3 linked regions of the Arabidopsis thaliana genome follow. The protein of the gene in region 1 interacts with the protein of each later gene in a pairwise test. Each region holds a gene or a part of one and is shown on either strand. Other genes may lie near its edges.

The links.
Region 2: the proteins of GRX4 (region 1) and ANK6 interact in a two-hybrid assay, tested with the Arabidopsis thaliana proteins (one large-scale study listed by BioGRID).
Region 3: the proteins of GRX4 (region 1) and SEOa interact in a two-hybrid assay, tested with the Arabidopsis thaliana proteins (one large-scale study listed by BioGRID).

What each region holds. Positions count from the first base shown.
Region 1 is NC_003074.8:5,307,907-5,311,661, reverse strand, and holds the start of GRX4 (glutaredoxin 4), read left to right. Parts: upstream 1-2,037; 5' UTR 2,038-2,278; coding exon 2,279-2,350; intron 2,351-2,627; coding exon 2,628-2,768; intron 2,769-2,854; coding exon 2,855-2,954; intron 2,955-3,066; coding exon 3,067-3,133; intron 3,134-3,307; coding exon 3,308-3,386; intron 3,387-3,477; coding exon 3,478-3,528; 3' UTR 3,529-3,755. Other genes in the region: AT3G15670 (Late embryogenesis abundant protein (LEA) family protein), read left to right, coding at 761-814, 898-1,521.
Region 2 is NC_003076.8:24,625,282-24,629,036, reverse strand, and holds ANK6 (Ankyrin repeat family protein), read right to left. Parts: upstream 1,851-3,755; 5' UTR 1,707-1,850; intron 1,260-1,706; 5' UTR 784-1,259; coding exon 259-783; 3' UTR 69-258; downstream 1-68. Other genes in the region: AT5G61220 (LYR family of Fe/S cluster biogenesis protein), read left to right, coding at 2,717-2,980; SNAP33 (soluble N-ethylmaleimide-sensitive factor adaptor protein 33), read right to left, coding at 3,671-3,755. UniProt on the Arabidopsis thaliana protein: Promotes anthocyanin accumulation through interaction with PHYA, especially in response to far-red light, high light and sucrose treatment, probably by triggering A3G2XYLT/UF3GT expression.
Region 3 is NC_003074.8:245,484-249,238, reverse strand, and holds the start of SEOa (sieve element occlusion protein), read right to left. Parts: upstream 2,048-3,755; 5' UTR 2,024-2,047; coding exon 1,403-2,023; intron 1,322-1,402; coding exon 1,241-1,321; intron 1,171-1,240; coding exon 701-1,170; intron 623-700; coding exon 513-622; intron 413-512; coding exon 270-412; intron 196-269; coding exon 1-195. Other genes in the region: AT3G01660 (S-adenosyl-L-methionine-dependent methyltransferases superfamily protein), read right to left, coding at 2,807-3,112, 3,192-3,707. UniProt on the Arabidopsis thaliana protein: Scaffold protein required to form the phloem filament matrix in sieve elements.

The sequences.
Region 1 (3,755 bases):
GTATATGTATATTGGTTACATCTAAATTTGTCACACTTGTGTAGCAGTGATAGTTGTCTCAGTGTGTCTATAGACTATAGTTAAATGTTAATTAGTAGTATTTATACAATACTAATTACATCATCTAAATATTTGCATATGATTCACACAAGGCAAATTTCCTTGGCTAATTGTCACACTATTTATGTGAAGGTGAGTAGTTAAAGCTAATAACCTCGAAGTTGCTTGGTTTATATGAGATCAAGTTTGGCTCTTGTAAGTGAAGATAATAATTTAAAGAGTATTTTAATCGTGATAATCTAAATGTTAGTTGATAGTTAATACGTCACGGAACATGTACCGACCGACGGCCGATTTCCATGATACAATAAAAAAATGAAAATTAGCAATCTCATAACATGCGACGACGATACTTATGGTGTTGCCACGTAGCAAGCATCTTCCTCTTAACCATGAGGTGTCGCAACCTCAGAGGACAACACGGACAAGACCGAGAAACCGCATACTAACGCTTGCAACGTAAAGCACAACACCCCTAAACTCCTATTTTTTTAATTTTCTTTTAACCTCAACACACCACGCAGCTATACACGTTTCAATGTGCTAATACGTGTCTTCTTCTCCGCCGACCAAGACACACTACAAATGTCCCGATGGTTTGGGGAGACAAATCACAGTTTCTACTACAACAACAAATACTTTTACGAAAAAAGCTTTTAAAACTTATCTAGTTTCGTTTGATACACATTTGAAGAAAGAAATGGCATCCAACCAACAGAGCTACAAAGCTGGTGAGACCAGAGGCAAGGCCCAGGTAATAAGAATATATTTTTGTGTATGTGTATACGTAAAACCACATTATATAAGCTCTAAGATGATTTGTCTGTGTAATACCAGGAGAAGACTGGACAAGCTATGGGAACGATGAGGGACAAGGCTGAGGAGGGCCGGGACAAGACTTCTCAAACGGCCCAAACAGCCCAACAGAAGGCCCATGAGACAGCCCAGTCAGCTAAAGATAAGACATCTCAAACTGCCCAAGCGGCTCAGCAGAAGGCCCATGAAACGGCCCAGTCAGCAAAAGAGAAGACATCTCAAACTGCCCAAACGGCACAGCAAAAGGCCCATGAGACGACGCAAGCAGCAAAAGAAAAGACATCTCAAGCTGGCGACAAAGCTCGCGAGGCCAAGGACAAGGCCGGGAGCTACTTATCGGAGACAGGCGAAGCCATAAAGAACAAGGCTCAAGACGCTGCTCAGTATACAAAGGAGACGGCTCAAGGTGCGGCACAGTACACAAAGGAGACGGCTGAAGCCGGTAGAGACAAGACGGGTGGATTCTTGAGCCAGACTGGTGAGCATGTTAAGCAAATGGCAATGGGTGCAGCTGATGCAGTGAAGCATACTTTTGGGATGGCTACTGAGGAAGAAGACAAAGAGCATTATCCAGGAAGTACTACTACCACTACTGCAACTACTCGAACCACTGATCCGACTCATCAGACTTATCAGAGGAAGTGATGAGAAAACAAAATTGAGAACGATATGAAAGTATCTTTGTGTTAGTTGGTCTTTTGAGTTTTGTGTTTGTGTTTTTGTAATTTCCGTTGTGTCTTTCTTTATGGTTGTGGTTCAGCTGTGTTTCTTGTTGTGACGGTGATCCTGGAGACTTCTAATTTCCAGCCAATAAGTTTAGATTTGATCCTGTTACAACTTATGTGTTCTCAAATTTCTATTTTTGTTACAATAAACAGTTATTAATACACATCATGGTCCACTTCGTATGTTGGTCATCAAGCATTAGCATTATACAGATATAGCTGCTAATCCAAACGGGTTTTACTAATCTTTCAATTTCTTTTATCAAAAATTTCAATAAAACATTTGTGTCTGCTTTTACGTTTTACGAATCGTTCAATTTCATAGATCTACTAAAATGAGAGAAGTAAACCAAAAAAATTGAATAGTAATTTATCTAAACCGAGCAAACCAAATAAATTTATCAAGACGTCAACGGACGTATACTTTGGTGACCATCCGAAACGACATCGTATAACATCTTAGGGTTATGAGTAATGACACGACGTCGTTCTCTGGGTCGGTCACTGGAGATGAAGAGAAGCGGTCGCGACATTGTAAAGATCTCTAGCTCCGTCCTTCTTCCTCGTAGCTACCCTCTCTAATCTTTTTTTCTCATTCCTGTTCTTGATAGTTTTCTAGACAGATTTCGATTAAACAAAACCGCGGAACACTTTGAAGAAATCTGCGTGATTTAGAGATGGCGGCTTCTTTATCGAGCAGACTTATAAAAGGAATCGCTAATCTCAAAGCTGTTCGTTCTAGCAGATTGGTTAGATTCTCTCATAACCCTTTTACTCAATTTTGATGTATCTAATGTTTGCTCAATAAAGTTTTCTCTTTTCCCATCTTGAATCACTTAAAAATTGCTCCTTTATATAACATTTGAGGTTCTGATTCTTTTGTTAGTTGAACCGGATTAGATAGTTACGTGAGCGTATGGTTTTGAATTATGTGAAAATGAATTTGTTTCCAATAGAAGATGGTATTGATGATCATTTGATAGTTGAATTTAACATGGAGAAGAATGATGTGGTTTTTGTTTGCAGACGTCTGCATCAGTCTACCAAAATGGGATGATGAGATTTTCCTCAACAGTGCCAAGTGATTCAGATACACATGATGATTTCAAGCCTACACAAAAAGTCCCTCCCGATTCTACGGACTCACTTAAAGATATCGTTGAGAATGTACACTCCAGCTTCTCTAGATTTGAAGTTGAATGTTTCTTTGTTAGGTGTTTGCTAATGCTGTTTTAGCTTTGGTGGTTGTGTAGGATGTGAAGGATAATCCTGTTATGATCTACATGAAAGGTGTCCCTGAATCTCCTCAGTGTGGGTTTAGCTCACTAGCCGTCAGAGTTTTGCAGCAATATAGTAAGTTTTGTTGAAATGTTGATTGAAACTGAAGAAGCCTTCTGTGAATTTTCTTTACTATTGGCGTTAGGCTCTGTGTTCTGATCTACTATCTTGTGATATCCTTCTTTAGATGTTCCTATCAGTTCTAGAAACATTCTAGAAGACCAAGAGTTGAAAAACGCTGTGAAATCCTTCAGGTGAGTATGTGGACACTTAATGAAAGTTTCATACAGAGAGTTGTATAATCTCATTCTCAAAGTTTTTTCATAAAGTTTGGCTTTGTTATTGAAGTTCGTTACCGTTCATTCCTTAATCTTTGACCTATATGATCTAGACCTCCCTTTGATTTTCAAGTCTTTATTTCTTTGCAGCCACTGGCCTACGTTTCCACAGATCTTCATTAAGGGAGAGTTCATTGGCGGCTCAGACATCATCCTTAACATGCACAAGGTTAGTTCCACTTAAAGCAGACCCTGTTTGACTTTTTTTTCCCCCGTTTCCATTGTGTTTGTTTAATCACAAGTCTCTTTTACTATTCTAGGAAGGTGAATTGGAGCAGAAGCTTAAAGACGTCTCCGGAAACCAAGATTGATCCAAAGTTTGGAAGTTATGCTGACGAGTGGAAGTTATTATGTTTTTGTTCTTTCTTTTCATAAGAATGTCTTTTCATGTACGGTAAAATAATGTCTCAGAAACTCAAAAATCTTTGGATTTCGTATGAATAAAAACTTTGGTAAACTAAGATAGCAAAATCAAAGAAGCCCAACGAGCCTTATTTATTTATTTTATTATTCATAATCAAGAATCGAACAGTAGAAA
Region 2 (3,755 bases), on another chromosome or scaffold:
TTTAGACTTAATGATTCATAAGAGACCAAAACCGATTATCTCATATTTTTGGTTGATCCAGAACCGGTTAAACAAATCAAATTCGGCTAGGATATCAAACTGGAGTTGCAAAATAACACACTGAAGATTACATGAATGTATCCGCAGTTTCAATGTTTCACATAGCCCATAAGATCAAACACCAACCATAATAGTTCTGATAAGTAGTCTCAACTAGAAAACAAAACAAAACACACCGAGAAACAACCAAGAAGAAGTTCAGTTGTCAGAACTGGAAGATGTGTCTCCACCAGATGAAGAAGAAGACTCGCTGTTAAGCTTCTTCATTTCCTCGTACGCCCATTCAAGGCCGTGACAGTAATGCACCGGCGGATTAAACCTGGTATCAGTTATATCATCTGCCAAGAATGCGCCGTTCTCCACCAGAAACTTCACTGCTTCTCTCTTCCGCTCTTTGGCTGCAGCGTGGAGAGGAGTCCACCCGCATGAGCCCCATGTTTTAGCATCAATGTTGGCCCCACGTTCTAGGAGTAAATCCATGACTTCAATGTGACCTCCCTCTGCTGCAAGGTGAAGTGCACTCACTCCTTTTGATTTGGGTCCCCATGCTAGAGCATTCACATCCATTCCTTGGTCGAGAAGCTGCTTGACAGATTTCAGATCGCCTTTTCTGGCTTTGATATGGAGCGGATTCCAGCCTCTGTCATCGACATTTGATCTGGGAGATCGGCGTCTGAATGAGTTACGCCGGAGGGAGAATGCAGCCGACGGTTCTTGGAGCATTTTGGGTCTGAGCTTCAGCTAAACAAGAACTAGCTTCGAAACTAGGATCCGGATCTGTGTAGGACTACGAGACTCGGGTAGATACTAACCAAACAGGGGTTTCTTATTCTATGCTTTTAGTGTAAATCTCTCAGCCAAGAATGTCTAAAGAAGATACTACTTGATTTGCAACACTATCCAGACTAGACAGCAAAGGAAGCAGACTAATGTAATTAAGTTGAAAGAGAGCAACTCAATTAACGGGAGGCAAAGGAGTGATTGGCGATGCAGTAAGGGAAAGAAGGATTCAAACCAGGGCCGAAGACACTAAGCTTTTGAAGGATCACAGATAAAGCCATAGACAGGGAAGAGAAAATGAGCATCAGTTTGTAAGAAATATAACCCTAATGATTGTGAAGAATCCTAACGGAGCACGACCACATCGAGACTGAGAAACCCCCAAATTTCAGCCTTAGAGAACACTGACCTTACCAAACCTATCAACAAAAGATGGAGAAGAAAACCAAATTAGTGAAAACCAGATGAACACAACAAAAATGCTATAAATTTCTCTGTAATATAAATAACACAACAATCCAGCTCGTGTAGAGTTTCAAAAGTTCATTCAGAATCCAATTACGACACTTGTAGTCTCTAATATTGGCAAATCTACAAACAATACAATAGAATCAGAAAAAATACCCTCACAGAGACAAAATCAATCGAATCAAGGGGGAACTAACGAGTACAAATTTTAATCATCGATCACCAATCAAGTCAGCTACAAATTACACATGAATCAGAACAAATCACAGAAAAACATTGACGAAATAAGAATCCAACGATGAATCCGAAACGAAAAAGAGAAAAATCAATCTCGACACGCAAGGATTTTCACACATACTTATGAACACAAGGAATCGAAAAGTTTGAGAGGCTCGTACCGTAACCCAGCGAGGAGATAGAGATAGAGAAATGGTGAAACCAAGCTCAGAGATAAAAATTTACTTCTCGCCAGAGAGATCGGAGTTTTTTCGCAGTAGGGTTTTCTCGTCGAGATAAGAGAGAATCGAATTCGTGTAGAGAAGGAAGAAGGCGTGACAGAGAATGATAAATATCGGTTTTGTTTACTATTTCTTGTCGAATATGCCAGCTCATACACCTTCATTAAAAAAGGCTGGCTTATCACATATTGGCCCAATTTAACAGGCCTTTGTGTCTAGCCCATTCTAAAACCGGTTCTTTTCTTACTCAATCTAAAATTGATCCGGTTCCCAAATCAGTTTTCCCGGTTTAGTTTTGGGTAAACCTAAAAGTTTATTTATTCCCCCGAACGACCCAGCTTGCTGCTATCAAAACCTTCGAACGGAGAACTTCAACGGCGAGCTCGGGAAATTAATACTCTCCGACGATTTGATTCGGTATGTATATGTATCTGGAGCTCGTTATCGTCAAATTCTATGCTTATCGGATCCTCTCATGATTCAGATGTATTGTCTCTTTTGGCTGTGACTGCAATTTCATCCATTTTACTGAAGTTTAGGATTACTAAGTGCGTTTATGGCCTTTTAAGGTTTCTTCTTGATTGTTTTAAGCGTTTGCGATTAGTTAATATTGGTTCTTTTGCGTATTTTCATGAACTCTAGTGCCTAGTTTCTAATGTTGCAGCAACTGGTTCTCATACCTTATATACACTACTCAAATCAATACTTATCTATATACTAATGTTACTGAATCTAGGTTCTTTTGCTCTATAAATGATGTACTGGTCCTTAATACTTTTCACTTATCTATATAACTTCTTGTTACATGTCGAAGTGTATAGCTTTATCCCTTGATCATCTTGACTACTTCTCTTCCTTTTCGGCATTGCTAATCTCAGCTTCTTTGTGTTCTTATACTGATTGCAGTTAACCAGGCTTTGTATAATTAAGGGTTAGTTTCCAATCTTGCAATGGTGTCTAGTAGTGAAGTTCTTAGCCTATGTCGTGCCTTGCTTCGAGCGGGACGTCAATTCCCTGATTACAACATTAGGGAGTACAGTAAGCGAAGGACCTTGGATGGCTTCCGCATGAACAAGAATCTCACTGACCCATCGAAGGTGACTGAGGCTTATGCTGAAGCTAAAAAACAGCTTTTTGTTGCTGAGAGAGTGCTCAAGGTTTACTTGGCATATCCTCCCAAGACCAAGAACATCATGGAAGTCAAGCTTCAGTAGATGTATGTTTGTCATTACAATATCCTCCAAAGCTATTTGTTTTTAATGGTCATGTTGGAGCCACTTTATATTCATTGATTGTCGAGTTTGTGGCTTGAGAATATGATTCGGGAACAAGTGGTGTTTGTATGAGATTATTATTTCCTCTATTCATAGTTCTTTCCAACTATGTCAGATTGCTTTGTCTAGTTCTCATTAGTAGTCTTTGTGTTTTATGGCTTCAGACATTATACAAGTGAAGAAGAGGACATTGTGGAATATATCCCTTGGATTGTAGCTGAGGAAGACTAAAGGGAATGAAGAGTTCCTGGTTTTTTTGTTCTTTTGAATAATCTCACATGATTGTGCAGTTGTTGCATAACATATGTTCCAACTTGTCTGGAGTTTCTGTATTCTTATGTCGTATTCTAGCACTGATATTTTTAGGTTATAAATCTGAGATTAAAACTCATAATTTCATCTATTATCAGAATTTCTTGAGAAAGCTTTATGATACAGATAAAAACGATACCAAAGTTGCTTCTGTTTGATCAATAAGTTTTTTGGTTTTTTGTCACAAGATCAAATACAAACACAGATAGCAATAATGTATTTAACATGATAAGAATCTTTCCAGTTTTAAAGAACAACTTCATAGAGAATAAAACAAACGAGGAATGAGTGTAATGAACATATAAACCCTCTGTTCATCTACTTTCCAAGCAAACGGCGACCACGTTGGTTTGATTGTTGCACTCTGAAGTTGAGTTCGTCAACATCATCATGAAGATGGTCA
Region 3 (3,755 bases), 5.1 Mb from region 1:
GTTCATGTGAAGGGCCTCGAACTTGGCATCGTCAGCTTCTGTCCAGAAATCTTGAACTGGAACCCAAAGAATCTCGAATGACTGCTGCCATGCTTCTGTGTAGAGCGATTCCAGGATGTAGAGCTCTTTTTCGATGTTTTCTAGGTCTGATATCAGAAGCAGAACGTGCTTTTGGGTGAGCACGTTGATCCCGACCTGGTTAATGTTTGAAAACAGATCAGTCACTGACAAGAGACATATACAGATGCAGAGATATAAGGAGGTTTTACGCGTCTCTTTGAAACACCAGCTCCGTGGTAAAGAAAATCAATGGGTCTGAGAAGACGAAGTAGAGGAGGAACAACGTCGACGTGAATGATAGTAGTGAACGTCTGGATGAGTTCTTGATACTCTTCTTCGATTATACCTTCCTCTGTAACAGAGTAAAAAAAACAGAGCTTGAGAACAGAGGAATAAAAATACTCTTAAATATATAGAAACAGAGAGAGAGCTTAAAACGACGTCGTAGTTACCGATGGTCATTTTACTCTTCTTGAATTGTTCTAACAAGTAAGCATTGATCTTCCTAAGCCTTTCGCTATTCTCATGTATCTCCGAAACTTCCATAAACGACATGATTTGACTGAAAACATAGATGAGAAGCACATACTCAACTTACTCCTACTTGAAACCCTAGAAATCAGAAAGAAAAACAACTTACTCCTGCTTGAAACCACTGGCGCCACTGATGTGAGAAACACATATCAAAACACAGCGAACAATCCAGTAAACCGCAGTGGGGATATGGTCGGTAAACGCGGCTGTGATGTGGTTTGGCGGGAGTTGATAGATATCGATGATGGTAGTGGTGAGATCAACCATGTCTTGCATCAGAATTCGGGTCTTGTCGAGACGCTGGTGTAGAGCGTTCTGCCGGGAGAAGATGCTAGGGAGCTGTTTGATGAGAGCCAGAGATTTTGTGAGCTGATTTGTTGCGTGTGTCTCCGCGAGGAGGAGAAAAACGCCGTATTTCACGGCCAAAGCAGATAGGACAAGGACTAGCTTAGCATCCCAACGGTATTTGGAGACCAAAGACAGAACAGAGAACGTCGTCGTGTTGCGACTATCCAAATGAAGCCCTGATGTCATCATACCGTGAGACTCACCGCCATGGAGACACTTGCAGTCGATCTGTGTCAGAGACATTGATACTTAGATACTGACTCAAACGTTACTTAAAACAAGAAAGCTTCATATATACCTCGCAAGAGATTTGATCAATGAGATCCGCAAAAGTTTCAAAGGAGGTATGATCAGCGTAGTCCTTGAAGACGAGTGATGGCTGCAAAAAGTTTTAAATTTAATACGCTTGTAAAAATCAGTATTTGAAATGGGGATTAATTGTTGCACAAGTAAACTAAACCTTAGGAGCAGAGGAGTCAATGGATGGGACATGAGACTTGAAGATGTCATTAACAACGGAGAGAAGTGATGTGACATCAAAGAAGATCATGTCTGGACTGTGAGTCTTCAAGACTCTATCAGCCATGACTCGGTCATCAGAAAGTGAAAACATGGGTCTGCCATTTCTATGGAAAGCTTGTTTCTTTCCCGGACCAAATCTTCCACCGAGCGAATTGGGACCCAATGATTTCGGAACCATCGAATGTCGGATATTAGCATCAAGGATTTCCTCAGATGGATGAGGGTAATGTGCAGTCTTAGGGACAATGGAACCGAGATTCTCGCTATTATGATCCATCACCTTATTATGGTCCGCAGGAGCAGCAACATGGTGATCATCAGTATGACCCCCAAAGGGGTTGTCTTCGTGAGATCTCGGTGCTAAAGGACGCCTCTCGCCTGCGTTATCAGCCAGCCTCTGCTCGGCGGATCTTGGAATAAGGGAGACCCTTTTGAGAGGGTCGGCCGTTGGGAGGGTTTGTGAGTTCAATTGAAAGCGTTGGGCCATATTGGCGAGGTTGAGAGAAATATATGGTGAAGGATCTGATGTGTTGTGATGAATGATTGGGTTAGTATCCATGTGTGTGTATATATACTGGTGCAAAAGGTTAAATAAAGTGGCAACTTTGAATCAACTTCTTTGCTTCACCTTTGGTTCAATATCTGTTTTGGTGTCTTTTACACTTCCATACAGTTTTTCCCTTATCGATATTTCATAATTTTCATAATAATAAGAATTTCAGGTCTTGGATAATATTATTTCTAAATATGAAACGTCTCTAACGCAACTGCAACAGTCTAATACTAGTAGTGAGAAACATTTAATATTTCAAAGTTTATATACTGATGGTACAACGAGTTATCCTGATAAACATAACTAAATTTAGTATGTACATAGTAAAATAAGGGACTTCATAGCTATTTAAGAAGACACATGCATGGAACATAGATAGTGTACATATACAATGGATTTTTGTTTTAATATAAAAGACTTCCTTCTAATATATATACTGTTATTATAGAATCTAAACCATAAAGTAAGCAACTCGTGATACTCGTTTGAAGAGGGACAAGGCTACCTTGCTTGGATATTGTCCATGAATCTTCGAACAAAACGAATCACATACAATGCATGCTAATTGAAAACTATATATTAATTATATTTTCCAAAGTGTGTAATCTTTCTGTCAATTATTTCTTGTGTAATACAGGTTCTTCCAATTTGATTGAAATCTGTAATTTCATTCTCCACTTTTTAAAAATTTGTATTGTAAGTTTCTCCAGCTGGACTTGGTTGAGAGGTTTTTTCCTTTTCTTCAAAAACTTCCCATCCAATTCTTATACACTTTTTTTTATGTGCGTGTTACTCATAAATAGGTTTGAAATTTTTATAAGCAATGACAGCATTAAAAGGATCGGGCGTAGAAGCTAAACCGATAAAACCCATAAGCCGAGTCAAAACCGATATCTGAGCTCCAGGCTGTTGCCGGATGATCTCCGGCTGAGTAAACCCTTCAATAGACTGAAAGTACTGAACCACCAATTGGATCCGACTGTATTCGGTTCCATCACGCCAAACCCTAATTGCTTTCTCATAAAACATCCGGTTGCTAAAACTCACTATCAACACTCCTCCCGGTTTCAACACTCTATACACTTCTGCAAACACCTGCGGTTTATATAATAAAGACCCGGTTTAGGAATCTTCTTGACATAACCGAAATCGGTTTTGGTTTACGGTAACGTACCTTTTCGGGTTGTTGTAGATACTGTACACCAACAGAACACAAAACAGCGTCGAAATACTTGTCTTCGAACTCGAACTTCTGATCTTCATTAAGATCCTTGACGAAGAAGTAATCGAGTCTAGGGTTACGAGCAAGCTCCTGTGCGTTAAGACCATGCCCTACTACTTTCTCGTACTTCACTTCTTCTGGAAGATGGCTGACCCATGAGCTCATCAAGTCAAGTACAGTCGAACCGGGTCTCAACCGGTTTCTGTATAGTTCGGTTAAGGAGGATATGAAACTATCATCTACGTGGTTCACGAACCGTGGATATGAATAGAATTCACGGTCAGGATCGGCGTTTAGTTTGGTCCGACCTTCGTTGTTAAGTACTAACCTTTGGATCCTACCGGCCGAGGATGATGGTCGAGGATCGGTTTCATCGATTCGGTTTGATATGTTGGTGATTCTTGGTCGGAGAATTCTAGGTTTCAATTGAAATGGAGATTGTTGGAGGTTGAATCGAAGAGAATCCATAAGAAAAAAACTTTCGCTTTATCAAATTTCACAGAAGCGAAGAATCGT